Diceros bicornis minor: one gene and its partners. The protein of the gene in region 2 interacts with the protein of the main gene of each other region in a biochemical or structural test. Links are inferred from orthologs where the notes say so. Each region holds a gene or a part of one and is shown on either strand. Other genes may lie near its edges.

The links.
Region 1: the proteins of UBR5 (region 2) and PAIP2 form a complex in vitro, tested with the Homo sapiens proteins (2 studies listed by BioGRID and IntAct, with this or other methods). The link is inferred for Diceros bicornis minor from reciprocal best matches to the Homo sapiens genes UBR5 and PAIP2.
Region 3: the proteins of UBR5 (region 2) and OTUD5 form a complex in vitro, tested with the Homo sapiens proteins (2 studies listed by BioGRID, with this or other methods). The link is inferred for Diceros bicornis minor from reciprocal best matches to the Homo sapiens genes UBR5 and OTUD5.
Region 4: the proteins of UBR5 (region 2) and PCK1 form a complex in vitro, tested with the Homo sapiens proteins (2 studies listed by BioGRID, with this or other methods). The link is inferred for Diceros bicornis minor from reciprocal best matches to the Homo sapiens genes UBR5 and PCK1.

The regions. Positions count from the first base shown.
Region 1 is NC_080740.1:57,744,193-57,751,898, reverse strand, and holds the start of PAIP2 (polyadenylate-binding protein-interacting protein 2), read right to left. Parts: upstream 3,011-7,706; 5' UTR 2,897-3,010; intron 1-2,896. UniProt on the Homo sapiens protein: Acts as a repressor in the regulation of translation initiation of poly(A)-containing mRNAs. Its inhibitory activity on translation is mediated via its action on PABPC1.
Region 2 is NC_080760.1:20,706,964-20,713,918, reverse strand, and holds the start of UBR5 (E3 ubiquitin-protein ligase UBR5), read left to right. Parts: upstream 1-3,955; 5' UTR 3,956-3,985; coding exon 3,986-4,047; intron 4,048-6,955. UniProt on the Homo sapiens protein: E3 ubiquitin-protein ligase involved in different protein quality control pathways in the cytoplasm and nucleus. Mainly acts as a ubiquitin chain elongator that extends pre-ubiquitinated substrates.
Region 3 is NC_080781.1:42,207,482-42,214,756, forward strand, and holds the start of OTUD5 (OTU domain-containing protein 5), read right to left. Parts: upstream 3,009-7,275; 5' UTR 2,253-3,008; coding exon 1,659-2,252; intron 1-1,658. Other genes in the region: KCND1 (potassium voltage-gated channel subfamily D member 1), read right to left, coding at 6,776-7,001. UniProt on the Homo sapiens protein: Deubiquitinating enzyme that functions as a negative regulator of the innate immune system. Has peptidase activity towards 'Lys-48'- and 'Lys-63'-linked polyubiquitin chains. Can also cleave 'Lys-11'-linked ubiquitin chains (in vitro).
Region 4 is NC_080758.1:5,975,188-5,982,232, forward strand, and holds the start of PCK1 (phosphoenolpyruvate carboxykinase, cytosolic [GTP]), read right to left. Parts: upstream 3,013-7,045; 5' UTR 2,993-3,012; coding exon 2,769-2,992; intron 2,329-2,768; coding exon 2,147-2,328; intron 1,708-2,146; coding exon 1,504-1,707; intron 1,372-1,503; coding exon 1,184-1,371; intron 824-1,183; coding exon 661-823; intron 216-660; coding exon 1-215. UniProt on the Homo sapiens protein: Cytosolic phosphoenolpyruvate carboxykinase that catalyzes the reversible decarboxylation and phosphorylation of oxaloacetate (OAA) and acts as the rate-limiting enzyme in gluconeogenesis.

The DNA of each region.
Region 1 (7,706 bases), on a different chromosome or scaffold from region 2:
ACCCTAACCTCAACTGTAGTATAACAAAGATGGCTCAGCCCTGCCTATCATCTCTACTGATAAAAGCTCAAAGCACACAGCAACACCATCCTTATTTATAAAAACTGATACAAAAACATAAGGGGGGGGCTGGCCCCGTGGCTTAGCGGTTAAGTGCGCGTGCTCTACTACTGGAGGCCCGGGTTCGGATCCTGGGCGCGCACTGACACACGGCTTCTCCGGCCATGCTGAGGCCGTGTCCCACATACAGCAACTAGAAGGATGTACAACTATGACGTACAGCTACCTGCTGGGGCTTTGGGGGAAAAAAGAAAAAGGAGGAGGATTGGCAATAGATGTTAGCTCAGAGCGGGTCTTCCTCAGCAAAAGGAGGAGGATTAGCATGGATATTAGCTTAGGGCTGATCTTCCTCAGAAAAAAAAAAGAAAAGAAAAGAAGGGGCAATTCAAACCTCTAAACCTACACCATCCAATGTGGTAGCCACTAGCTACATGTGGCTATTTAAACTAATTAAAATTCAATACAATTAAAAATTTAGTTCCTCAGTCGCACTTGCCATATTTCAAGTGCTCGACAGACTCATGTGCTTAGTAGCTACCTTATTGGACAGCACCTCTCTAAACAATGAGCAAATTAAGAAAAAGATTGAGTTAACTGGAACCGAACCTTGGGCTGTATCAAATGTTAATGCACCTGTGCCACAGGATGGTCCTGATCACAAAGGCAATAACTTGGACAACTTTAACCTCGGACTGGGTTGGAATCCCAGATACGCCACAAACCACCCACAAGACCCTGCATATATCGTTAAATCACAGACAGCACGGTACAATGCTTAAAAGCACATAATCTCTGGACTACTCGGATTTGAATTCCAGCTCTTACTAGCTGTGTAACACTGAGCACGTTATTTAACATCTCTCATTTGTTATCTTCATTTTACAGTAGTACTTACTCCCTAGAGATAGTGAAGATTAAACACTTGTAAAAGCATTTACAATACCTGGAATTACTAAATGCTATAGACGTATGTGCCTAATAAAATAATCTCTCAAGCTTCTATTTCCTCAATTTCAAAATGGGCGATATAAAACTTGCTCTGCCTATTTCATGTTATTATAATGAATATGAAAACAGTTCATAAATTACAATATGGAAAAGCACAAAAGGAAGGGAGGCAGGGGCCTTATTTTCCACTTTCTTTCATCTCCCACAATACCCATGAATAGCTGTGCTAACAGTGGACATTTTATAAATGTTTACATTTTCATTAAAACTGGAGCATCACTCTCTATAGTCATAAAGAAATAAACTTGCATAAGATGCAGAGTGCTTACTTAAGGAGAAGCCTACTATAAACTTGCTCTGTCCCAAACAGGGTGGAGATTATCCACCTCAATTTGAACTCTTAAGGAGCAATATGCAATACACTATAATAAAAACATCCCAGCTCCCAAGCCTTTAACCATTACAGTGAATCTCCATTGCCTAACTCCCAACCCTTAAAGAAACAAATAGGCTATAATTTTTGGACAATTATCTATCTTTATTTGTCATAGACACTTATTTGCGAGAAAAAATTAAGTTCCGTTCAAGTTCACAATTAACAAGTGGCATAAACATGCTAATTTGCCCCAAATATCCTCTCTCTCAAACCGGAAACAAGCACAAAACAGCAAACATGGGGAATCTCATTAACAATCCTTATCGAGACCCTTTTCTTATCTGCAAACATAACCTGCAGCATATGAAATTCCAAAGGCTATTTAATGAAAGTGCAAACCAACACCTGATCAACTGCTCAAATGCAGTTTGTGAAAAATCATGCCACCAGGGTTCAAGACAAGATTAGCCAGCACAAACAAAATGGAAATTTGTCTTCTGTCGAAATAAACGTCAAAAGCTGTCAGCTGTAAGACCTTCTCCCACGACAAACTGGAAGCTAAATTCTTTCCAGAGGGTGCGGATTCTGTGAGGCGATGGGGCTTCAAAATCAGGGAAAACAAGACAACAAAAAGAAGCAAAGATCCCTTTTTGGAGTCACTAGAAAACACCACTGCTGGCTGCTTCAACAGTTTTGAAACACAGACTTCACCACAAATCATATATTTTTGGTGGTGGTGGGGCGTAAGCACAGAGAAAGATTAGGAGTACCAGAATCAAAGAATGTGAATTCGATGGGCCCTTAAAATTCATCTGGCTCAAAAACTTCCTGGAGTAGGGGTTCCCAGTACCCTCAAGGCCCTCCTATCCAGAGCATGGTATACAATACAACTAAAAATAAGGGGTAGGCGAAGAAGATGGAGAAAGGGGATCTGAAAGGTACAGGCCCGTGGACCGTTGCAGAACCCTCCCCTCGTACGCTCGCCAGCCCGCCAGTCCCTCCGCCCCTTTCTCTTCCTCCACCCCTGCTTCGGGAGGAGCGCGCACGCGCGGCAAGTAGGCGCTGCGCGTGGCGACGCGCAGGCGTAAAGTGGGGAGAAACAATGAGCTTTGTTGCCCGGGCGGCGGTGGGGGGCAGGGGGAAAAGGGTACCCGCCGGTGGGGAGGAGTGAAGGGACTGGAGGGAGGGGGAGACGCGAGAAAGTGCTCTCCCGGCAACCCTCGCGCGCCACCGAGGACCCGGATAGAGAGCTGCGAGATCCAAATCATAAATAATAATGACAATGAGAAAAAAGAGCGACGGCCATGTCTCAGAGAAGAAAGAGACGAAGTCGGTCCAAGCTCATCCTTCAGACTTGGCTGAAAGGGGTAAGGAACACCGGAGGCCATACGGGGCTTGGTGGCCAACAACCCGGGGGACCCGCTAGGCCCCTCAGCCGTCGTCGAGGTGCTGTCCCTCGACCGCCGGGGCCGCCGCACCCTTCTGGCCGCTCCGCCCGAGGGAATCCCTCACCCAGTGCACGGCAGCGGGGACGGCAGCCAACGAATCCGGTCGGCCTCCGCGGGTCTCCACAGGCAGCGCCGCTCCCCCGCTCGACGCGCGCTTCGCCCGCCGCCTCCCTTCTCCAGTCCAAACAAACACCCTAGCCCGGAAGTGATTTCACTTCCGCCGCCGTCGGCCCCGCCCTCTCGTTCTGTCTGCGCTGCCCTCTGAGACCACTAGAGAGCGCGCGAGAGAACGCGCCACCCCAAATTTATCTTCGTCTCCTAGGCTGCACGCGTGTGCGTGCGCGTCGGCCTTTCCTACGTACCCTGGTGGCCGTGGTGTGGTATGCTGGGAGTCCTGAGTGGGGTCGGGCCAGTGTCCCCACACCCGACCATCCTTCAAGAATGGTGGGAAGCAGCGAGTAGGGGAACTGGGGAGCGAAGACGACCCTGAGAGGATACACAAACTTAGACGTTTACAGACCGAAACAGTTACTTCAAACGTAGCGACACCAAATAGGAACATCTAGATAACGACAGCGCACTCACACACCCAGACACACCAAACGTAATACACATTGCACACTAACAGTGACACGCACCAAGTCACATCCAGAAATTCTGACGCAGAAAGAATAAACACAGAAACAAACTAAGACGTTCACAGAGGCATACTAACTGATCTCCAAGCACCTGCACTCAGACACGTTCAGGCACACACTTTTTGAAGCTAGACCTTTACACATGGACGAAAATTATGAGTTTATGGTTCGCAGGCAGTCTATGGAAACTTCTTTGTGGCTAAGAGAGGAAACACCCTGTTCAGAGATAGGATACGGTGAGACCTCAAGGTCCAAGAATTTCCTAGTCTATGAACCTGGATGCACTGTACCCCATACATTGCTCTAATCCATGCTTCCTTGCTGTCATCATTGGCAAGCCCCAATGTATATTTTTAGTGATACTAATCAAGGTGCAGTGTATAGTATGTGTAAAAAAATTTGGATGTTTGAATATGTATGCACTATTTTTGAAAGGGGACACAAAAACTATTAATTTCTTCCCTCTGGACAAGGAAAATGAGGGACCGAGATTTACCTTTTTACTCTCTTGCAAAATTTGAATCCCTAAAAAACCACATGCTTTTAATAATATCTACTAAAACTCCAAAAAAAAAAAAAGTTTCCCTCCATGGGAAGGCCTGAATCCAAAATAGGGCTACTCTTCTTTAGGGCCATTTCATTCATTGAAGGTCTGCTTTGGGTCAGTCCAAAACCCCAAAGAAATGAAGAGCACAGTTGTTCTGCCATAGGCTCTGGTCAACCACTTTGGCCACATTTGCAGATATGTATCCTAAACTGGGAGGAAGGGTTTGGCTTTGTTGTCTGCTGAGCAAACAGCTCTGGAAGGAGATGGTGCTGTCTTACAGGTCTGTGGAGTATGATTCATCCAAGGAACCTGGAAGATAAGCTATCAACCTGAGGCTGGAAGAGGCATGAACAGGACAGGAGGAGAACACAATAAAAATAGGAGTTTAGATAATGTGTAGTTGACCCTGACATTCTTAGCAGCTAATCATGAGATGAACTGAACTTGTTACTTAGCAACACAAACCACTTAATTGATTATATTGGTAATATTGAAAAATCTTTGATAAATCCTGGTTTATTTTTTTATTTTTTTTAGCCCTGAGCTAACATTTATTGCCAATCCTCTTTTTGCTGAGGAAGATTGGCCCTGGGCTAACATCCGTGCCCATCCTCCTCTACTTTATATGTGGGACACCTGCCACAGCATGGCTTGGTAAGCGGTGTGTAGGTCCACGCCCGGGATCGAGACCTGCGAACCCTGGGCCGCCAAAGCAGAGCGTGTGAGCTTAACTACTACGCCACGGGGCCAGCCCCTGGTTTATTTTAATCTGAACCATTCAAAGGCTTATGTTGTTTTTCCCCACCCAAACGGGTTAAGATTTCAACTCCCAGCTCACAGGATGAGTTCGCCATTGTAGTTGAGAAAGCTTAAAGATATCCTCTGGATATCTCCTTCCACGGACCCTCTGCTCACTTCCAAAATGGGGTTCATTATGTTCATGCTATGCCTGGATGGTGGTGGTGATGGTATGAGTGGAAAACACTTTCAGAAGAGCAAAGGTGGGACAAGTTTGCCAATGATGAGGACAAACACTTCAATGGGACTAGCAGAGGTCCACAGTTTACAAATACTGCAGAAATTCATCTGTTTGGTTCAGATTAGTAACAATCCTAATTTGAGATGGAGGTTGAAGTAGGAATCACAGGAGAGAGGATGATAATGAAGGCCCAGGATGGCTGCAACTAAGCTCCGACTCTACCATCTTCCTATAGGCGTGAGTTTTATCAAAATGTAAAATGTGTCAGTCTTCTGATTCAAACGTTCCATGTATAGGAATCTGCCCAAATAAATTGGACATATGTAAAAACATGTAAGGATATTCATAGCTATGTTATAATCAATCAAAAAAACCTAAAAGCCTATCAATAGGGAATTGGTTAAATGAATTATGGTATAACAGAATAAAACATTAGTTATTAAAAAGATGTATATTCATTGTTATGGAATTATACTTATGTCTTTTTTTTTTAAGCATGCTGCAAAAAATAAGCCTCTAAAATTATATATGTAGACATAGGCATGCGTGGGTATAAATGCAAATATCTGGTAGAATAGCAATATCTATAATAGCAATATCTCTAGGTGGTCAGATTTAAGAAGATTTACTGTCTTCTGTATACATTTTTATATTGTCTGAATTCTCTATGAAAGCCTGAATTGAATTTATAAACAGGAAAAAAAAATCACACCTCGAATAAAATCTAACATATGTTCCTATAGTTGTTTGGTAATGGCCTTGTGCCTATGCTCATTTGTATCATGTGGAAGCATTATTGTGTGTTGAGTAAAGGCCTAGAATTGTGGGGGTAAGCAGTGGCCCCTGCTCTAAATGTTTACACTTCAGGTGAGACAAAGCATCATCCAACAAACTTTTTTTTTTTAAACAATTTATTTTTTCCCCCAAAGCCCCAGTAGATAGTTGTATGTCATAGTTGCACATCCTTCTAGTTGCTGTATGTGGGACGCGGCCTCGGCATGGCTGGAGAAGTGATGCGCCGGTGCGCGCCTGGGATCTGAACCCGGGCTGCCAGAAGCGGAGCACGCACACTTAACCGCTAAGCCACAGGGCCAGCCCTTATCTAACAAACTTTGAATGCCTACAAGGCAGTAACTGGCATGATCGTTTCCCAGAAAAGTTGTTTTAGTGAAGCTTAATGAGATACCACCTCACACCCATTAGGATGGCTACTATCAAATAAACAAAAAATAACAAGTGTTGGCAAGATGTGGAGAAATTGAAACACTTGTGCACTGTTGGTGGAAATGTAAAATTACCATATGATTCAGTAATTCCACTTCTGGGTATATACCCAAAAGAATTGAAAGCAGGGTCTCGGAGAGATATTTGTACACCAATGTTTATAGCAGCATTATTGACAACAGGTAAAATGGACAAGCAACTCAAGTGTCCATCAATGGATGAATAGATAAGTAAAATGTGGTATATACATTGAAGTATATACAATGGAGTATTATTCAGCCTTTAAGAAGGAAATCCTGCAATATGCTACATCATGGATGAAACTAGAGTACATTGTTAAGTGAAATAAGTCACAAAGAGACTGTATGATTCCATTTATATGAGGTAGTCAAAATCATAAAGAAATTGTAATGATAGTTGTGAGGAGCTAGAGGGAGGGGAGAAAGGAGTGTTATTGTATAATAGGTACAGAGTTGCAGTTTTGTAAGATGAAGAGTCCTGGAGATGGATGGTGGTGATAGTGGCACATTACTAATGTATTTAATGCCACTGAACTGTACACTTAAAAATGGTTAAGATGGTAAATCTTGTGTATTTTTTTAAAAATTAGTCTGACTTAAAAGGTGTACCAAATTTGTATAGGTTGAGTAGGCAGGACGAGCAGGATTTAGAAAATAAGGTGTAGATGTGGAATAGGTGAAGATTTTTGCAAAAGGGTGAGTCAAATAGCCCATTAGAAGCCACTGATTTAACAACTCTGGCAAAGTTGAGCAAATAGGAATTAGTCTGGCTTTTGATAGGCAGGTGCAATGACTGAAACTTGAGTATTTTGTCCTAATCAAAAGGACATTCCCGCTGCTCTTGGTATATCCTATTTGGATCAGGTCCATAGAATCAATACCTCATCAATGCTACCATGTATGAAGCACAATGATATCATGGTTGAAAGGTTACTTAACCTGTATCTAATGCCAGTTTTTCATCCTAAATTTACATATGCTATTGGGGTGGGCATATGTTCATCAACTTTTGTCTACTACACCTAATAGATTGCCTTTCATTTTCACCTAATTTTCCTATTCCCTACTGTACATCTGGCTTTACAGAGTTCTTAAATTCTGTGGAAATTATAAAACTTTCTAAGGCTAGAACTACTAAGTTCAAAGAAAGGCTAGGGCTAAAAATATTAATTTAATAATTATGTTAATATAGTCATTTTAATCAATCGGAGCCAGCCCTGATGGCCTCATGGTTAAAGTCTGGCATTACACTTCAGCGGCGTAGGTTCGGTCCCCTGGCGTGGAACCACCCCACTCATAGGTCAGTAGCCGTGCAATGGCCGCAGCTTACATAGAACCAGAAGGACCTACAACTAGAATATGCAACTATGTACTGGGGCTTTGGGGAGGGGGGAAAAAAAAAAAAAGAGGAAGATTGCAAACGGATGTTAGCTCAGGGCGACTCTCCCAGAAAGAAAAAAATCAGT
Region 2 (6,955 bases):
TGCAGGTCATAAGTTTTCAAGTCCTTTGGGTAAATACCAAGAAGCATGATTGCTGGATCATATGTTAAGAGTATGTTTTGTTTTGTAAGAAACCACCAAACTTCTTCTCAAGTGGCTGCACCATTTTGCATTCCCACCAACAATGGATGAGACTTCTTGTCGCTCTACATCCTTGCGAGCATTTGGTGTTGTTAGTGTCTTGGATTTTTAAGCCCCATTGTTTTAGTCAACCAACATTCATATACCTACGTATTTTCCCTTTTCATTCGGCTTCTTCCTTTTATGCCTTTCTGAACTTACACTGGGGAATTATTTTCCTTTTGCCTGAAAAATACCCTTTAGTATGGGGTGCCTGCTAAGAATGTCTCACATTTCTTTTTCTTTTTGTGAATGTCTTTATTTTTCTTTCATTCTTGAGGCTATTCTTTAGCTGTAGAAATGTGCTTTGCCCACAAGTGAGGAAAGCTTGATGTGTCAGGGAGTTAACAACCCAAGGGATGGGTTGATGGATAAATACCTCCAGCTTGCTTGCTCCCCGCTCAGTGGCAATAACTCTGAGGTGTGTCCCACACAGTCTCTCAGATGGTCCCCAGTGGGATTGAATTCCAGTTGCCCACAGTGGTAAAACATTCTTCAGCCCATCTTTTATTGGGTTTTCTCCCTTCCCTGTCTCATTTCTCCATCCCCACACAGTGCTTCCTGCAATCACTTCCTAAATAAACTATTTATAGCCAAATCCTTGTTTCCAGGTCTGTTTTGGGGGAAACCAAATCTAAAGACATGACCTTTTTCAGGGGTGCAGTCCTTCAGGGCTCAGCACAAAGTAAGAGAGGTCATTAGCACTCCCCACTGCATTGGGGGAGCTTGGACATCAATCCCTGTTGTCTTAGCCCTCAGTGCTTGTCAGAAGAACTGCTTAGCCTCTTGGCTTCTCCCTCTTTCTGGAATTGGCGCTTATCCCAGCGGAAAAAGTGGCTCCAAACACAAACCAGGACTCACTTCTTTGGGTCTTATTCATCCTTTGGATCCTGGTTTGGTAATTCATCATTTTGTTAACATTCTTCTGCTTTTAAGCAGACTTAAAGAAATATTTTGTCTAACATTTCTAGCTGTTCTCAAAGGGAGAATTAGTCCAAATTATTAGAAAAGAGGCCCCTCAGCCATCTTTTCTAGGCGAGTATTCCACTTTGACTCTTCAAACAGCTTCTGCTTGAACCCTGCTTATCACCATTCCCTACTTGTATTCCCCCCTCCTCCATCCATGTGATGGGCTTGCACAACTCCATGCCTTTATTCTTGTTTTTCCTTGTTCAAAGTGTGACCCACCAAAGTTTTGGGGCCCTGGGAGAGGAAAATTCTCCCTAACACGCCAGCCTGGGACAACAAAAAGGTTGCAATGCCAAGATGGTTGTCAGTCAAAAACCAACTGGGCAGTTTGAATGGGCTGCCTGGAGGCAGGGGACCAGCCTTCAACCAGGAGGGAAAGTCTCTGTTCCAGGAAACTAGGAGTGGGTAAATCAAGTTGGAAGCAGGGTGGAAGCATAATGAAAAGATGAAGAAAGACAGATTTGGAAGAAAGAGTAATGAAGCAAGTATGGGTATGGTGTGGAGTTTGTTTAGGGGCAAATCTAAAAATGACTAGGTTTAAGCCAGATACTCTATTTGCCCAGGACATTCTTGAAAGCTCAGCTTAAATGACTTTTCTTAATTCTCTTGGCTGCAATCGCTTCCTCCTTTAACTTCCATGGCACTCTTATTGCATTTATCATATCACATTTTTCCTATTGGCTTTGAACAGTCTGTTCCTTCTAAATTATTAACTAGATGGCAGCTGTGCTATAGTGGAAAGAGCAATGGAATCAGAGTTAGATGACCTGGGTTTAAGTCTCAGCTTCAGCACTTACCTAAGGTGTCGAGCCTCAGTATCCTCATCCTCATAATGGGGATGATATTATTTACCCCATAGTGTGATTTGAGCATTAAAAGACATGTGTATAAAGTGTTACATAGTGAGCACTTGACAAATAAAAACTTCCATTTTCTGAGCCTACTAAGTGTTATGAAGTGCTCCAGGTGCTTGGCATACATTATCTTATGTAGACTTCACCACAACCCTATGTAGATCTACTACTATGAAATATCTTACAATTGAGAAAAGACACTACGATAGGTTAAATAATTTAATCAAGGTCACAAAGCAAAGCAGCAGGAACAGGACACAAACCCAGGTCTGTATGGCTCTAAAACTAGCAGTGTCCATTGATCTACCCTGCTTCCCCATGGCTGGCGTGGACTTCTAATAAATAGCGGCCTTGAAATCACTTTTTAGTCTAAACTAATCTGGGCCAATTTTGGAGCTGGTGACCTACAAAAGTGTTCCGTTATCTGTCTCAAGGGGTACCTACTCTATCCTGATTTATAAATAAATTTTCATATATTTTGCTCAAAGGAACGTCCTAAGCAAAAGTTTGTGTGTATATAATGCATTAACAGAAGAAAAGTGGTACTTAACGTTAAGACCGTTTCACAGGACCCCCGATTTAACGAACATCCACACAGGCTGGAGAAGAAGCTTCATGTTTTCACTTTTTGTCTTGAAAGAAGTACTTGATTTTTTGAAGGAGTCATAGAAGCCTTTGAGAAAAAAGCTAGGAGCTGGTTCCCTAGAAAAAAGCAGATAGATCCATTCAAGAATTTGCCTTTACGATCCCACTGATCCTAAGTTGAAGAACGCCTTTGTAAAAGTGATATATCATCTTTCTTTTAAAAGTAGTAAAAACAAAAAATCATGAATCATTTACATCAGGAAATCGGTGGAAATTTCCACATTTTGTCTTTGTGCCGGTATGTGATGGTGGTGGTGGAGAAATCGGGGAGACTAGGGTGATCAAGAAGTTGCTGCAAAGTCAGCTTTATGATCCTACGATAGGACTTTCTGGAAAGGTCCTTATATAACTACCTTACTTCTCCAATAAAAGGCTGTGTATTTCTTGCCCTTTCACCGATTTTACACTGCCACTTTAAATATAATTGCGGATCAAGGACGAGAAACAACAACAAAAAACCCCTAAGGGTCTGCAAAATAATTAGGGCTGCCTCAGGGAAATCAGAGAGAGGACGGACGCGGGAGCCCCTTTTGCTTCCCACTTCCCCGGGGACACACTCTCAGCCTCCTCCCGGACTCCCTCCCCGCCGGCGGGCTCGCCCCTGCGCCTCCTCCTTCCCTAACACGTGCTCTCCGGAACACTCACTCGGGAGACATCCCACCTCCCGGGGGCCGGGCTCGGGGGCCGAGCGGACCAATCCGCGCGCGTCTTACAGCGTCGTGGCCCGACAACGTTGAGCCGCCCAATCGGAAGGGCCTTACCGCCCGTTTCCCGGAGCCCCGCCCCCTCGCAGCCGAGCCCCCGCCCGCCGGTCTCCTCCCTCCTCCTCCTCCTCCTCCTCCTCCTCCTCCCGTTCGCCCCTCCCCCGCCGCTCGGGAGCGGAGCCTGCGAGACGGAGAAACTGGGGCAGAAGTGAAGATGGCGGCGGCGGTGCTGGCGGCGGCGGCGGCGGCTTCTCGCCAGTGACGCGCGGTGCGGGCTCATCTCTCCCCACCTCCCTAGTCCGGACCCCGTCCGCCGCCGGGACCACACCGTCCCCGCAGCCCGCCCCTCTCCGCCCTCCCAGTCGCCCCCTCTCCCGACGCCCGGCTGCCGCTGGCGGCGGCGCGCCCCGTGTCCCGGCCGCCGGCCTTGCACTCCTGCGCGCTGTCGCCGGGGGAGCGGGTGGCGTGTTGATCCGCCCGCCCCGCCGGACCGCGGGGCCGCGGACACACGCCCGGCAGGGAGGTGGCGGCGGCCCCTGCGCATTTGCTTCCCTCCATTTGGGGACTGGGAGGCGGCGGCGGCGGCTGTGGGTTTTGGGAGGGGAAGGGGGTTTGGGGGGGGCGGGCGAGAGCGGGAGGGGGCCGTCCTCGAGGAGAGGACGAGAAGGAAGCACCATGACGTCCATCCATTTCGTGGTTCACCCGCTGCCGGGCACCGAGGACCAGCTCAATGACAGGTAATGGGGCCGGCGGGCGGGCGGGCGGGGGGAGGGGCGCCTCCCCGCCCTCCCCTCCCCCACGGGGCCGCGCCGGGGCAGGCGCCCGTGTTTACGCGCCGGCCGGCCGGCCGGGGGGTCCACATTGCCCCTGGCTAGGCCCCTTCCGGGGCAAACTTCTGGTCCTGGGGGCCCGGGGCCGCGGGGGGAGCGCGGTGTAGACGGGAAAGCGCGCTGCAACCTCCCCCCCCCCCCGTCCCCCTCCGAGGAGCCGCGTTGAACTCCGCGGAGATGGGGGGGGATCCGGCTCCCGGGGGGGCGGGCTGTAATTACCGCCCGGCCCAGGCCCGAGGAATCCATATTAGTCAAAGTTGAATTGAGACAGACAATGCGGATGGGGGATGGTGGAGGTAAAAAGAGAGGGAAGAGGAGAAGCGGGGCGAGGGGCCCTGGGGTAGGCTCGGCTCGCCCGGGCCCCCGGGAGCTGTGTCCGGTCGGGTGGTCTGGACCAGCCAAGCCTGGAGATCCCGGGGGAGGGGGGAGGCTGATTCCCGGCAGATCGCGGTGGGGGTGGGGGGAGGGAGGAAGCGCCATGATTATTGTTATTATTATTAAATTTGAGCCCCTGCAGTGAGGTTTGCCAGCCTGGGGAGGGGTTGAATTCAGGCGGGGGTGGGTAAGTGGATTGGATTCCCTTTGCTCTCCTTCTTCCGAAACGGTGCTGGCAGCTCCTGCTCCCAGCCCCTGTGGTGCGAGCTTTTTTGTTTCCTTTTTTATTCTAATGATAGTGTTTTCCTGAGTTGTAATTTGACAGCTGAAAACCGTGCGTGGAGTCAAAGGAAAACTCTTACGTTTGCAGTTCGCAGTGCTGCCTTTCTTAACGCGCTGTAAATTTCTGCGATGGGTTTTGCTATGGGCGGAGGAGGAATTAAGATTTTTTTTTTTGTCTTTCATAAGAGGGCTGTTTTGGCCGTGGATTTCTCCCCTTCCCTCCTCCACCGTTCCCTGCCGGTTTAGGATATTGAATTGGCAGGGCCGCATGCTCACAGGGAACGGAGATAAAGCAGGAAAAGTTCCTTCACTGTGGCAAAACAGAGACTCCGAGGAGGTTGAGGGAGGCCTCCATTAAAGCAAGTCTTAGAATCTAGGACTCAGATCTAATGATGGGCTAAATGTTTATAGGGTTAGAAAGGGGGGCATTTTAAGCCCACGTCTCTCCCAATACTTCGCTGCTCTCTATTTCTTTTGAGTATAGAAGGCCACCTGGACCCAAGTTCAGAAGTTAGCTATTTTTGCTAAGTGACCGGGTGACATAAATTGCATGACGCCCTGTTTGTCATGCGCTTCCCGGAGGGAGAAAGAGGCCTAACTTGCTGCTAAGATATTGGCCTCTGTCCCCAAGAATCTAACCGCCTCAGGTAGGGCGGACAGCTTTTCAATCTGAAAGCTGGAGGCTTGGTTTCTGGCACTGGGTTCGGATTTGTCTAATCTTTGCTGTAGCCATATTGTATTTAACATGTTTGCGAAACTTTTGGAATAGTTTCTGAAAATATTAAGTATTTGGAGTTGTTACATAGTTCCTTTAAATACTGAAATAAGTTTTTAAGTCATTTATTTTAACATTTTGTTATGTGATCCTTACTCTGATTTTATTTCGTTAGAGATCTTTTTAAAGACTGTTTTGTAAATTTTAGAACCAGGCTAGTAGTGAGGACAGCTCTCCTGTCATTGGTAGAACCAAGTTGGTAGTGCTTGTAATGTAACTTGTAACTGAGAAAATTGCACAGGGAGGAGAGAAGTAGGGCATGTTTTCTATATTAGTCCTAACTTTATACACCAAGAATCCTGACTATGCAATGCCAAAACCTATTTTGCAGTTGTGTTGGGCACTTTGATTCATTTTTGAGCCTGCCTTTTGCTTTAGCTAGTCTGAGAAATTTACAAGTAATGTATCTTTTTTTAAGCTACCTTTTCTTTTTTGCACTCCTAGTGTAAACAAGTAATCAGCTTTGTTTCTGATTTCTGTAGTGTCAGTATACAATATTAAGAATATTTAGATCATCTTGAGTTTTCATTTCATGAAGTAAAGAAAAGACAAGTTGATTTGATTCAGATCATAAAATGTGCACCTCAAAGTGGCAAATATTTGAAAAAATAGGAGAAGGCTCTAGGTAAAATTCTAGAGATCTATTATTGTATCTAGTAAAAATGGCTGGTCTGTTGACATTTATGAAGGCAGCATCTGAGACTGCCATACACCCTAAGTTTTGAAGTAGTTGACTTGTTAGTGGAGCTGTTCTGTGTCTCTCCTCCAAAAGGAAAGATCATCTTTCCATACCTACTTGCAAAGTAATAGGATCAACTTATGTTGCATTGCTTGAGAAAAATCAGTTTCCAAAAGAGATTGATTTTCTGGAAACTTTTAACTAACTAGAACAAGAAGCCCAGAATATTTTTGCCTTCAGATAAAACCTTTACCAAGGTTTAGTAAGTTTTGGTAATAGAAAAGAGTTCTCTACTATAGCTTGATTTTTGTGTGATCTATGATTGTCACAAATGAAATGATAAATGATAGTTTTGGATGAAAAAGACTAAGTAGGTAGACTTTATTCTATACATGAAAAGCAGTGAGATTGGACAGGCAGTATGGTACTGCAAATAAATTGCTCAGTTAAAACTTAGGGCCTCAAAACATCAGTATTTTCTTCTGCAAATGTTTTCTTTCTTTAAATAGCCACATCCTGTTAAAAGTCAAATATTTTGTTCAGTGAAATATTGTGATGTCTCAAACATCCAAAATGTACTCAGCATTAAAAAAAAGTATCTGATATTTTTCTCTTACTTTGTGTTTTCATACTGGCTAATACTTGATAGTCTTTGTATATTGGGTTAAAATCTTCAGTTATTGGCCTTGGGAGACCAAATAATG
Region 3 (7,275 bases), on a different chromosome or scaffold from region 2:
GAAAGTGTAAACTCTTGAGGGGAGATTCAGGACACTATTCTCCAGGGACTCTGTATCCATGCCCCAAGGGAAGGGTCTCAGGGCTCCATTCTGGTGGGGAGAGTTTTCCTGTTCCTGAGGGGTACCTTAAGTTCCTTGAGGGGGAAGCTCAGACCTCATCTCTAGAGACACACTAGTCACTGGGGTATATAAGGGTCTCCTGTCCTTGAAAGAAAGTGCAAGCGTCCTTAGCACACTGGGTCCCAGGCCCTTGAAGGCAGGCTTAGATCCATGGTGAGGCCTCAGACTAAATCTCTGGGACTCCATGCTTCCCATGTCCCCTGAAGAGTGGTCTCAGTCCCGAGTTCCCAAGGCAGGGATCTTACGTCCCTGACAAGAAGCTCACGCCGTTACGTGTGGGGAGTGTGTGCTCAGATGCCTATTATAGGGGAAGAGGGGGCTGTTATGTCCCCAAGGTGTGTTTCAGTCCTTCATAATTGGGCTAGAAGGATCTCACATCCCTGTGTGTGTGTGTGAAGGGGGGGGTCTCAGATTCCTAAGAAGAACACTCAGACACTAGCTCCTGAGGAGAAAGGTCCCCTAAAGACCTCACCTTGCCTGGGACCTGCGGAGGGGTATCAGTCTCCTGAAGAGGCTTCAGACCCAGTCTCTGAAAGCCCCAGTCCATAAGCAGGAGGATCTTAGGCTCCAGTATCCAAAACAGTGAGTCTCACTTTCTTGAAGCAAGGCTCAGGGCAGGGAGGAAGCTGAAAGTCTAATGCTTAACAGAAGCTTAAGAGAGATTCACTCTGGTCCCCAAGAACGTCTCAGACCACTGAGAGGAAGCATAGACCCTTGTCACTTAGAAAGGAGATGAGTTTCATATGCCCTAGTAGAGTTTCTGGTCCCTGGGTGTTTTGACCCTTGTCCCCAATGGGAAGGAAATCTTATCTCCCTGAAAGAAGTCTTATATACCTGGAGAAAAGCTCAGAAGATCCCTCTCTCTAAAGAAGACATATATGTGTGTGTCAGGCCCATGATTCTAGAAGAGGGAGTCTCAGGCCCTTGAAGGCAGGCTTAGGACCCTTGAGGAGGTCTCAGACCCCATCACTGAGTGGTCCTGCACTGTGTTCCCCTGAGAAGAAGGTAGAGGAGATCTGTCCTATATAGTGTCTCAGACTCCCGAAAGGATTTAGGTATCTTGGGGACACTCAGACATCTCTGAAGTCTCCACCTCACTTGTGTTCCCTGAAGACGGAGTCTTAGACTCTTATCCCAGAGAAAAAGAAATCTCAAGCCACTGAACACAGACCAAAGTTCCTTGGAGAATCAGGAGACACCCTTCTCAGAAAGCATTCCATCCTGCCTGTGTCTCCTGGGGAGTTCCCACCTATTGGCCCTACATGATGAGGTCCCAGGGCCGGAAATGACGACCATGAGTCCTCAAAGTAACCACAGACCTCATCTTTAAGTCCTCCATCTCATCTGGGGCCTCTAACACCAAGTTCTTGAGAGGAGGAAGAGGGTGTCTCACACCCCTACCACCAGAGAAAAGAACGCCAAGCTCCGGGAAAAGATGTTAGGGCCCTTGGGCCGATCTCAAAAACCTTCCTCGGGTCCCTACCCAGCCCGGGGATCCCATCGACCAGACTCACTCACCTGCCACCCCCAGCCCATACCTGCTCGACGGTGGCAGGATCCATGGCCTCGATGCGTGCTGCAGCTGCTTCATACTCATCCTCGCTGTTGTAACCTGCGCCGACCTCCTCACGCTCGGGACTGCCCCCGCCAACCGCGCCAACCCCAGGCGCTTGACGCCGCCGTTTGCTGTGACCCGGCCCAGAGCAGCAGCTGCCCACGCCTACACCACCGCCCACGCCCACCACCACGCCCGCCGCGCCCACACCCGCCGCCGCTGCGCCCAGCGCGTCACCGGCACCGCCGCCGGGTCCGCCTGGGCCCCCGCAAGGAGGAGGAGAGGCCTGCTGTGGCCGCGGGCCTGCCACAGCGCCTGGCGGCACGGCCAGCGCCCAGCGGTGAAGCGCACCCGGTGGCCCCGGTAGCGGACCCTGAGGCGGTGGCGAGGCCCGGGAACGGGCCCCCACAACGCCCGAGTCACGGTCGCGGTCGCCACCGCCCACGCCCGTGCCGCCGCCGCCCACGCCCACACCCCCGCCGCGGCGCGGCGCCGGGGGCAGCGGCCCGGGCGGCGACGGCTCGTTAGCGGGGTCAGAGTCGGGAGGCGGCGGCTTCTTTTTGGGGAGAATAGTCATGGCGGCACCGCCGAGTACCCCCCAGCAAACCCGGCGCGGGGCACGCCGGGAGAGAACCCGGATGAGGGGGCTACTGTGGTGCGCGAAGCACGATGGGATCGGCGGGACCCGGATAAAGAGATTGAGGCACCGGTTCGAGAACTCTCGGCGGCGCGCGGGTCACGCGGCAGGAGAACCCGGATGTGAAGTCCAAGCTGAAGGCACCCCGGCGAGTTTGTCGTAGCCTTCTCTTCAAGTCCAGCAAGTTTACTGCTACGCTCGCTCCGGCCTTCTGCTTCAAAGGAAACAGAACCAAAACAAGCACCTCTTCGCCCCGCCCCCTCGCAGGTTCTTGAACTACCGGGTGGGGCCCCGGGACGCTGCGCACGCGCGCCAGGGCACAGCCCCGCCTCTCGTGCGGAAGTACGTGGGCAAAATCTTCGCCGCCGCCACAACAATTGCGGGCAGCAACCAATCGAAGCAGCTGCGTGGGTCTTCGATGACGCCCACAGGCCAATCAGAGATGATCGCTCGCCCTCCCGTGCCCTCCGTCTCAAATTTCAGTCAAGTCGGCACCCTCGTTCCTTGCCTTCTTGTCGGCCGTGTCCGCTCTTTACTTCTCTCTCCGAGGCTCTGACTCGCAGGCAGGAGTACTGCGACAGGACAGCGTAGCCTGCCCCACGCAAGATAATTTTAAAAGTACCTCCCTACCAGGCTTCTAACTTGGCTGCAGTCAGCCGGACTGACGAGAATATCAACACTCCCAGAGCATAGCAATCCCCTGAAGCGTCAGTTCCGGTCCCACCCACCGGCAAATCCACATCCGACGGAGAGGAGGGCGCCGCTTCACCCTGGCAACAGGCTGAATTCTGCGATGATTGGTTAAGAGAGGCCGTCATTCAAGTCGGAAGGCCAACCATGGGACAGACATGCACCGTGGTGTTTGGGAAACAGACACGCCCACTTTGGCACCACCGCATTCTCGCCCTCGGGTTGACCTCCCCGCCCCTGTAGCTAGTGCGCAGGCGTAGCGCAGCCTTTTTTTCTGAAACTGAGTTTACCTGGATCGAGAAGTCTATGAACCAGGTCTGTCACTGGCCAGCGTCTCGCAATGGGGTTGGTAAAATCCCTGCTACTGAGCTACTGGAGAGCTACAAGCTAATCTTAGCTCTGACCTTCCTGTCTGAGTGATCTCCGGCAAGTCATTTAACACCCTCCATCCTCAAATTCTACTTCTCTGTAAACTGGCAATGATAATTCCATTTTAATGATCAGAGATGAATGCTTGTAATGGGCTTGGTGCTGTACTTGGCACGTAGTAAATGCTCAATAAATTAGTCTGCGTGACGGTACAATGGAATGGATCTCAGGCTTTGGAGTCAGGAAGAGTCCAGTTCCAGGCTTCAGTTCCAGGCACGGATGGACCCTTACCAACTGTATGACCTCGAGCAAGTCATTGTGTCTCAAATTTGGGGTTAGCCATGTGTAAAACGGGAGTGATAATGCCTGCCCAGACTCCCTCAGAGAGTAGTTATGAGGTTCAATAAGCTCATGAACCGAGAAGGTGTTGTGAGAGGTGAGGGCTCACTACCAGTCTTAGGAGCCGAGCCATACAAGAGGTTGACAGTGAGACCATCAGAAAGCCCTTCTGAGTGCGACCTAACCTCGCTTCAGATGCTGACCCTAGTTGAAGTTCTTCCCTGAAGGATGTCAGTAATAAACGGACTGTTGTGGTGTTTTCTGCTCTTGAGACAATGAGAGGAGAGGACTCACGTTTACTGGGCCTATTGTGTTCAGGGCACTGTGCCAAATGCCTATGCACATTATCACATGGAATCTTCTCATGACCATCTCACTTGACCCATACATCCCACTCCCTACTGGATATTTGGTCAGCACTACATATCTAAACCTGAACTTATGATAAGAATTGTAGCTAACCTTCACCGAGTACTTACTATGTGGCTGGCACTGTGCACTAACAGCTTTGATGTTCCCTTTGACAGTGAATGGCACCCCAATCCAGCCTTTCCCCAAGCCAGAAACCAAGAAGTCAACCTTGACTGTTTCCTCTTTCTTAACTCCTGCATGCCTGTCAATCCCAAATTCTGCCCATTCTATCTCTCAAATCTCTTGACTCTCCAACTCTTACTGCCACTACCTGATCCAAGCCACCATCACCTTTCAACTGGACTTCTGCAAAAGCCTCCTCACTGCTCGTCCTCCCTCTGGGACTGTTTCTCTATAATCCGCTCTCCACAGACAGAATGATCCTTCTGAAACACAAACCTGAGAGTGACTTTCCTGTCTATAAGCCTTCAGAGGTCCCTATCATTCTTAGTATGAAGTCTAAAACCTGTATCATAGCTTCAAAGGCCTTTTATGATCTGGCCTACCTCTGCATCTTCACCCTCCTCACAGCCTCACACTCTCCTCCCCAGCTGTACTGAACTAATTTCAGTTCCCCAAAGGCCCTGAGCTCACTCTCTAACCTTCCAGCTCATTCATTGCACATGCTGTTCTCTCTGCCTGATACATTTTCATACTTTTGTCTTTTGCCTGGCTAACTCCAACTCATTCTTCATGTGTCGGCCAGATTAGGTTCTCCTGCCATCTACATGCTTCTATAATCTATCCATCTTAGTTCTACTGTACTGTATTGTAATCGCTTAATTGCCTGCCTTCCATGCTCACCTCTGTAGATGAGAGATGATGTCTTCTTTGCCCATCTTTGTCTCCCTAGGGCTAGCACATGATATGAAGTTAATACTTGGTGAATAAATGAATGATTATTTCGCAGATTAGCAACCTGAGGCAACAGAAGTAATTTTCTCACGCAGGGATTGGAACCCAGGTCGACCTGAATCCAAGGTCTGTCTTCTCAGTGCTCCACAGAGCTCAGTCACACACTAGCCTAGTGTACCCGGGAGCTCAGAAGAGAGAATGTAGGAGACATCCACAAGGAAGGGGAATTTGCCAAACTGAGAGATGCTTTTCATTAGGGTTCAATTCAGAGCTGTTTGATGTCAGGAAGCCTCGGTTTAAGTCTCCTCTAATCAAGCGTGTGCTGCTCTGGGTCTCAGTTCCCCCATCTGTGAGTGAGGGAGCTGGAGCAGATGAAGTTCAAGGGGCATGTCTCACGACCTCCTAGCCTGCCTTGCTGGCTGTAGATTCAACTCTTCAAACCACCCTCTTTCATTTCTCCTAGATTCCCATCTTCCAGAACACGTCACCAACCATCCACCTCCCATACCTTTACCCACAACCAGCCCTTCTCCAGCAATACTTTGAAATCATAGTATTGTTAACCCCCTAGCCCAATCCAGCCCCCAAACCCACAAAGCCAGGAGGTGCTCAGCCTCATCTCTCCTCTCAGATTTTATTGACTGATGGAAACTACATCTTTGTCAGCCTCCAACTCCACAGGGACAGTGCTGGGGACAGGGAACCTGAGATGATGCCAGATTTCAGCCTGAGAGCAGACACAGAGTTCTGGAAGGTGACCCAAAAGGGAGAAGAAAGAGGAATATGTGAAAAAGCATTGTGGGAGGAGGAGATCAATAAGTTCCTCCTGCCTCCTAGAACTCCCAGAGTTCAGGAACAACCCAGGCCCCAGCCCTGATGCTTCTGGACTCCTGCCCAAGAACATGGAATTAGCCCGTGATCTCCAAACACAGCCCTGCTCTTGCTAGCTGCCAGGTCTTATCTCAGCCAGTCCAGACTCCAGCCCAACCCAGGAAGGGAGCAAACCAGAGAAGAGAGAAGGAGGAGTAGTTAGAGGTGGCCCCTCTGATTAGGGCAGATGTAAATGCTGCAGCAAACTGGGCAAAGGCTTTGCATAATGTCATGGCAGCAACTGCTATTGCTAGAGTTGGCTGGGGGCCCAGCAGAGGACGGGGTTGTGGGGACCCATTTCCAGCAGCCAGGGAAGGTGGGTGGTGTTTGTGCTATCTGTGTGTGTTGGGAGAGGCAGCCTGACCCCTGAGCCAAGGTCTGGGGGTGGCAGGTCACTGCTGAGGCACAGCTCATGAAGCCTGTGGTTGCATTCCAAGCTTCAGAATCTGGGAGTTATTGGGCCTGGTGGAGGGTGGGGACCTCTCCTAAAGGCCAGATCAGAAGTGAGAGTTCTTTTCTCTGAACCTCCAAACCTCCACAGCCCGGCCAGAGAGAAGAGGAAGTCTCATCTCTCCTTCTTACGCCGAGCTCAGATGTCAGGTGGGAGCCCAACGGCCCGAGGGGAGGAGCATGCAGGAGGCCAGCTCAGGAAGAGGGGCCAGTCCCAGTGTGCTGGGGCAAGGAGGCCAGGGGCGCGAGGAAGCCCAGCTCTTCAGCTCCCACAAGGAAAACTGTCTGGGCTGGGGGAAGTTTCCCATTCCCTGGCTACTTCCCCACTAGGTAGGCCATTCCATGAAACTCCATTGCATAGTTCTCAGTGGGGGGCAGAAGGGGTCCCCAGGCCTGCCCCTCTCTGCCTCTCCAAAATATGGCTTTGGAAAGGAGTCCCCAAGAATCAAGAGGGCTCTCTGGATGGGCGGGGCCGCCCCTCACAGGGAAGAGATCTTGACAGTCTCAGGGAGGAGGCAAGGGGTACCCAGGCTGGAGTTCCTGAGGGTGCTGCTGGCCCCGCCGCCACCACCAGGGGAGGAAGGTTGGCTCTCATTTGGGGTGTTGGCAGGAGGGGTAGGGATACTGATGATGGCAGCCACGAAGTCCCGGCTTTCACAGTTCAGGTCAAGGCTGTCATGGGGCTTGGCATTGAGGCTTGAGCGGCTGTGGATAGGGTGGGAAGATGGAAGCTTCTTAAAAAGTCATCTTAATACTTGCCACATCAATCATGACATTTATTGGGTGCCTACTGAGTCCCTGGCACTGTGCTAAAGGCTTCCCCTGACTCCTCAATTATGGTGGTACAGAGTGAGGGCTCTGGAGTCAGTCCTGGGGTCGAATTCTGGTCCCACTGTAACCACTCTCAACCTCTTTTTTCTCTCATCTGTAGCATGTGAATAACAGTATTTCTTCTTGTAGGGTAGTTGTAGAGAGTAAA
Region 4 (7,045 bases), on a different chromosome or scaffold from region 2:
GGTCCACTCCTTGTTCTTCCACGAAGTAAGCCTGATACCCGAGGCCAGTGGCTGGTCGATGCCTTCCCAGTAAACGCCCCCATCACTGGTCTCAGCCACGTTGGTGAAGATGGTGTTCTTCTGGATGGTCTTGATGGCGTTGGGGTTCGTCTTCACAGAGGTTCCAGGAGCGACACCAAAAAAACCATTTTCTGGGTTGATAGCCCTTAAGTTACCTGGAAAGTTTTAGACCAGAGAAGCAGAAGTGAATGCCAAGCAAAGCATAACATATATTCTTACATCCTGCCTGGCTAATTTTTGTACCAAATTCTCAAATCTTTTTTTCCCTCCTCCCTAGAATATATTTCTCCTTTCTTATTATATTCAACTTGGATGCTTTTTCAACTCTTTCTTCCTCATCAGTTTTCCACCAATACTAGTTTAACAAATTTATTATGTAAACAAACAATAATAACATATGGCCTCATTTCAATCCAGATTCAATATTAAATTAGAGAACACTTACAGAATACATATTTCTAAGGTTTTGCAAGATCTGTCTGAAATAACTGAATTAAAAATCCAAACACTGTGGATTTAGGAGAACTTGGCATGTTTTGAAAGCCAAAAAATCTCTTAGGTTCAATTATTGCTGTCAATAGCTGGGCCTAAAGCAGTCACCTTGTTGGTCAAATTTCATCCAGGCGATGTCGTCACCCACACACTCTATTTTCCACCCTGGGAGAGTGGGGTTCATCATGGCCAGGTTGGTCTTCCCGCAGGCACTGGGAAAGGCTGCCACGAAGTACTTCTTCTGGCCCTCGGGGTTGGTTATGCCCAGGATCTGTTGGAGACAAGATTCCTCCTGAAGCTCTTCATTCCTTTCCCCACCAGTGGTCAGTCCTTCAGTCTAGGAGTGTGTCTAGAACCCAACAGGTAGGTTCCCAAGATCTATTTCTTGGTATTAAAGTGAGCATTTTGAGTAATGAAGTCCAGAGGATCTCTATTGGTTCCACGGTGTCTGAGGTCCTTCAAAAGGGGCATCCATTAGCGCATTAATAATTATTGATGGAATTTCCGAATCTGTCCTTGGAGCATATTGGGGCTCTCCTAATGGGAACTACAATGCCATATATATTTGCCACCACCCTGCCTCAGCCCCCAGACCCTCTACCAGGCACATGTAGGATTTCCTGCATCTTACCAGCATGTGCTCTGCCAGCCACCCCTCCTCCTTGGCCAGCCGGCTGGCCATCCTGAGGGCAAAGCACTTCTTCCCGAGGAGCGAGTTCCCGCCGTACCCACTCCCGAAGGAGATGATTTCTCTGCGGTCGGGCAGGTGGGCGATGAGGGTCAGCTCTGGGTTACAGGCCCAGTTGTTAACCAAAGGCTCTGCACAGGAGGACACATCCCACATTAACACACCACGTCCCCGCCTGGGGACCCCAGGAGCACAGGCCTGGGGTTTAAGGCTAGGCTTACTTTTTAAAATTTTAGCTTTTGATTTTGAAATAACACACTTACTATTTAAAGGCAAAGGGCACCCCACGGAATGGAGACACTTGACGAATTCCCCATCGCCCAGTGCTTCCAGGACAGGTGTGCCCATTCGCGTCATGATGCGCATGCTGGCCACCACATAGGGCGAGTCTGTCAGCTGGACACCGATCTTTGACAGAGGCGAGCCCAGGGGCCCCATGCTGAAGGGGATGACATACATGGTGCGACCTGCGGGGCCAGTCGGTGGGAACTGGTGAGATATGACCCCAGACTCACAACAGCCAACACTGTTTTCCCAGGTGGACCCATTCTCATCGTCTCCTACTAGCAACGTCACACTTCGCTTGCTCTCAGCCCCCTGATTTAGAAGAGTCCCCTGGAAAGTGAGCGAATGCCAAAATGAATTTTCTTAAATGTGCAGTTGGAGTCCACCAAGCCATCTCAAATCTGCAGGCACAGAAATCGTTTTCATGTTCCTATAAGACAGTCTGTAAAACCGGAACTGAGATGTACATTCTTAATACATTGCCAGTTTCACACATGGAATTTAAAGGTCTCTGAGGCCATGGGAGTTGCCATTACTCTTACAATTAGGACAGACATAATAAGAAAAGGTTTGCTTTCGCTTCTATTTGGTTTTGCCCCATCAAATAAATGTTTGATTCACCTTTCATGCACCCAGGAAATCGGGCATTGAATGCTTTCTCAAAGTCCTCCTCCGACATCCAGCGACCCAGTTGGCTGAGGCCACTTTTGGGGATGGGCACCGTATCTCTTTGCTCTTGGGTAATAATGACTGTCTTGCTTTCAATTCTGGCCACATCCCTGGGGTCAGTGAGAGCCAGCCAGCTGCAAAAATAAAAAATACACAGGTTAGGCATGGAGAGGGAGGTGCTGCTGTTCTGCATTGCATCTGCGTGCTGGATTCCCTCGGCCAGGCATCATTTAAGAATGGACAGTCTTATTCATTATCGTGTTCTTCTCATACCTGTGGACACCCACACCCACCGGGACATAGTCAGGACACAGTCACCCACCGTTAGCTAGTCTTTAGGACAGGGACTGTCTGGCTCTCATTTTTATCAGAGACCTAGTTTGCAGAGAGCATTTGCATGTGCCGTCTCCTCGAAGACAGGCTGCTCTGCGAGTGTCGTCAGTCTATACGGTTCTGGCTGTTTGTTACGTTGTTCAAGAGTCTCAACCCCTGGAGAGGGCTTCGCGCGGGTCTTTCCAGCGACACCAAGCTGGCGGAGGGGAAGGCGTGAGCCCAGGGCCGAGGCCGCACTTACCAGTTGTCATACTTTTTCAGCCTCTTGATCACGCCCTGGTCCTCCATGTGGCACAGAAGCTGCCGGCTCTCCTCCTCGGAGCCGTCGCAGATGTGGATCTGGTCAGGCTGGCAGAGCTTGGCGCTGCTCTCCACGAACTCCCTCACCGCCTGGGGCAGGCTGTCCAGGGTGCCCTGGACCACTTTGGCTGAAAAGTTGAGGCGTTTTTGGTGCTGAGGAGGCATCTCTGCAGGGTTGTGTCAAGGGGCCCGGATGCCAAGCTTCCCTGAAATGGAAAGCACAGGCTTCCTGAATAAAAACAGCCACAGACTCCCTCAAACAAACTCCACGTGCTTTGTTTGGGTTGCACATCGCCAGATGGTCGTAGCTCTAAGGAAAAAGAAAACGATCACAGTGTCATCGCTGCAATGTAAATGTAAGTGAAAAGGCTCTACCTTACCTCTCTTCTCGGGGATGATCTTGATCAGAGATCCCAGGGTTTCCTCAGGGGTTCCTCTCGCCGGCGAGCGTGCGTTCCCAGGGGTAGGGCCTGTTTGTAGTGGGTGGCCCAGCTTCCTGGCCTTAAATCCGGGGGAGGAGGAAGGCCTGCCCTTCGGCTGTGCCCAGGGAGGCTCGTCTCTGACGTCAGGGGCAGGTCTTTGGATCACAGCCACGGTCAGTTGTGCTTTGGACCAGCTCTCCACAATAAACCCCAGGGAGATAATCATTGAACAGATAGTTGTTAATGAATGCTGGGAGGCCGCTGATCCGGAGACCAGCCATCGCAAGTCCTTATGCAACTTCTGATTGACTAAACTTTGACCCGGCTCCCTGCTGATGCAAAACTCATTGCCCTTCCATTGACAGGCAGGTGGGATCATGCACAGGCTGGTGGGACAACTCCTGGAAATGAAGGGTTGCTGGCAGCACGCTGTGTGTGCTGACGGCTGCTGGTCCTCAAAACACTGCAGTGGTGAGGTGTCACCCCACAGTCAAAGGCCCGTGGGAAGAACGCACCTGAATGTGGGCCAACGCGGAGATTCTTAGGAAAGCTCTGACCTAATTGGGGGCTAATAACCTTATTGAGTGTCCACTGCGTGCCCCCACCCCCACCCCAAATATAAACTCCCTGAGGACAGAGATTTGGGCCTATTTCGTTCACCTTTGTGTGTACAGGGCCTGGCACAGAGCAGGCTCTGAAAAAGTAAATGCCGAGCAGTGTTCTAAGTGCTTTGCAACATTGCCACCCTCTGAGGTGGAGCCCACGAACAACCCTATGTACAGACAGTGATACTGAGGCACAGAGAGGCCGAGTGGCTAATCCCAGCTACCTGGCTGGTGGGTGGCAGAGGGAGGACCGGAACACGAGCAAGCTGGGCTCTGGAGCTCCATACCAAACTGTCCCTTGTGAGGAGCCATTGCCTTTTCTGGAACCTTCCATGGATTCTCCAAGTAGTTTTGGGCTGGGTACAGTTACTCCTGGAGTCGACTATCACTTTTTGCTGCCCTTCCAAGTTTGAGCATCTGGGGAATGGAGGAGGCTTGGTGGTTTTGCTAGTTTACACTTGAGCAATGAGACCTTTATAACAGCTGCAAAGAATTTGCTTTGCAACCTGCTTGCTGGCATTTCGAGAGAACTGGGTGAGAAGTCAGGAGAACGGGGTCAGGCCCTGACTCCCCACAGCCAGCCCAACGGCTCAGTGGGAGCCCTCTCCCTCCGACGAGGCGGGATGGGGCTTGCCTGCCTCCCCCGCGGGGTGTGCGCAGAGATACTTCTGTGACTGTGTCTGTCAGGAGCTGTGGCAAATATGAGGCATTGGGAATGGCAGGCTCAGACCACGAGTATTTAGAGGAGTCCCCTGTATGGCTTCGTCCCCACTGCCATGTGAGGTTACACATGTCACCAACTGCCACCAAAATTATCAACTCATTGCTGTGTCTCATTCATTCAGATTCTTATTCAACCAACTCAATCTTTCAGTGTAAACACCATATGAAAAGTTTTTGTTTAGTTTTAAATTATTTCCTACCTAGGTCACTGGAATTCATTTTAGTGGTGCTGTCAGCCATACCTAAATTTGCGTGGTGTCTAAATTCCACCACCGCATAATGCTCAGCTGCTGAGGGACACTGTCTTAGCATCAGACATCAGTGAAATTAGCCATTCAAATACACAACCAGACATTTGTACCAGTGCAGTTCATCTCACCAGATGGGTGGAGATTCCCATTTTGCTGATAAAACTGTGACGGGTTTGATCCCCTCAAAAAGCATGTAGATTGGAAACAGAAATGAGAAACCAGAACTTATTTGCAGTGTTAAACGCTACCCATAAATTCAAGGTGTTTGTGTTGGGAGTCTTCCGGGAGAGAACCAGCTAGTTAAGACGTAGGCGAGGTGAGTCACCAGCGCCCCGCACCCAGGTGTTGAATCACCCACATTCACTCAGGGAAGGATGGGATTATGCCTTTGCAACTGTCCCTTGTCAAAACGTTAACAAGCAAACATTGGGCTTCAGATTTACCTTCAAGTACCGAGTTTTCTCGAAGGAACAAGTGATGCAGAGAGGAGCTAGTGTTTTGAGGACACAGAAAAGGATGGACAAAGTTCCCTTGTCCCACAGTTGATGATGCCCTAGGGCCCCAGTCTGTCCCTGTCCTCAGAGGCTCCTGGCCCCAAAGGGGACTCATTGAGCAATATTTTCAAGGGGCTGGCTGGAGACATCGGCGTCTCCCCATTCACGCACAGGCTTGGTTGTGAGAAGGGCTCAAAACCAGGTACGTACCCACCACCCACCCACCGTTGGTTTCCTTGGGGACCTGGAGGGGCAGCCACTTGAGCACAGATGTCCTAAGGGGCAAGGCTGCTTGCCTTTTAAAAAACATAAAAAGCTGAGCCCAGATACAAAACTGCTCTGTTGAAAGAAGGAGAAAGACCAGACACTGAAAAAAATAGTTTCAAACCTAAAAGTAACTTCTTCACAACGCCTCCCTGAGGGTCTGTGCGCGTTTCGTTTTGAAGCTGCAGGGTGGGTGTCCTCTGGGCTCTGAGGAGGGAGTGAGTGACTTTGGAAAGCCTTCAGATGCCCGTGCGGGACGGAGCAGGCGAAGAGGCAGCACGGAAACGTGGGCAGGGCCTGCCGAGGCTCGACAGGTGTGAGCAGGCGAGGCATGGGGTGGGGCACCTGCGTTCCAGGTGAGCCAAGGAAAACAAAGCCATGAACTTGGGCGGGGTCTCACGGAGGATTCCGAGGACCGTTTGTGATAAACATTGGCGTTTCTTGGTTATTGGAGGCCAATAAAAATCAGAAGTTCCAAAGACCAACGCCAGCGTCTGCAGTTCCTGCAGAGTCCAAGTCCGTGGCCTCCGCTCTGTGCTCCGAGGGATCTGGGGGGATTCCTCTGAGCCTCCTCTGAGGAGGAGGAAAGGCCAAGTGAGACGTGCTCAGAGCCCTCCCTTGCACAGCACTTTTGACCTCACCTGCTGTGCACATTAGGCTTCCATATTGGATCTTTGTTTGAACAAGGAATTCCACAGCCAGACAACACTGGAAATCCACAACCAATTCTGTCATTGGAGGAGTGAAACTGCTGAGACCCAGAGAGAGCAAATATGCCATTTTCCCAAGCTAAGGCTCTTATCCGCAAGATCATGACCTCCCTACTTTACCCCATCACTGATGGGGGCAACAGCATAGGCTCATTCCACCCAGGGAGTGCCCACAAAAATGCCCCTCCATTCAGATCTGAATTCACAGGAAAGCATGACCCTTACCTGGTAAAGAAAAAAAAAGGACAGTAATTTCTAGAAGGTGATAAGAAACTAACAGTGTAAATCTCATGTCTTGTCTTGGAGCCAAAGGTGTGTGTGCAAACCAACCCTGGGGTTGGTTTGCACTGCCAGGGAAGGTGCTCCATGGCACCCGACTGGCACAGCTGTGGAAGCTTCCAACAGCAGGAAAACACTGTTCAGATGTGCAATGATCTGGCATGGAATAATTTGCCTGGGCAATCCTGGGCATCCGCCCCAACTATGTTTGTGAGGGACAAATATTTAGATGTTCTACATTTATGGGGTAAACTTAATGTCTTTGCAGTCTGGAAGGGTTTTTCGTTTTTACAGAGTTGAATGAGTCAAGTTTCTATTTTGGAGCCATAGAATCATATAATTGAAAGGGTCCTTAAAAGATTATGTTAATCCAGCTTAATGGGTAGGGGTTCTCCTTTGGGGGTGATGAAAATGTTCTGGAACTAGATAGAGGCGGTGGTTGCATAATATCGTGAATGTACTAAATGCCA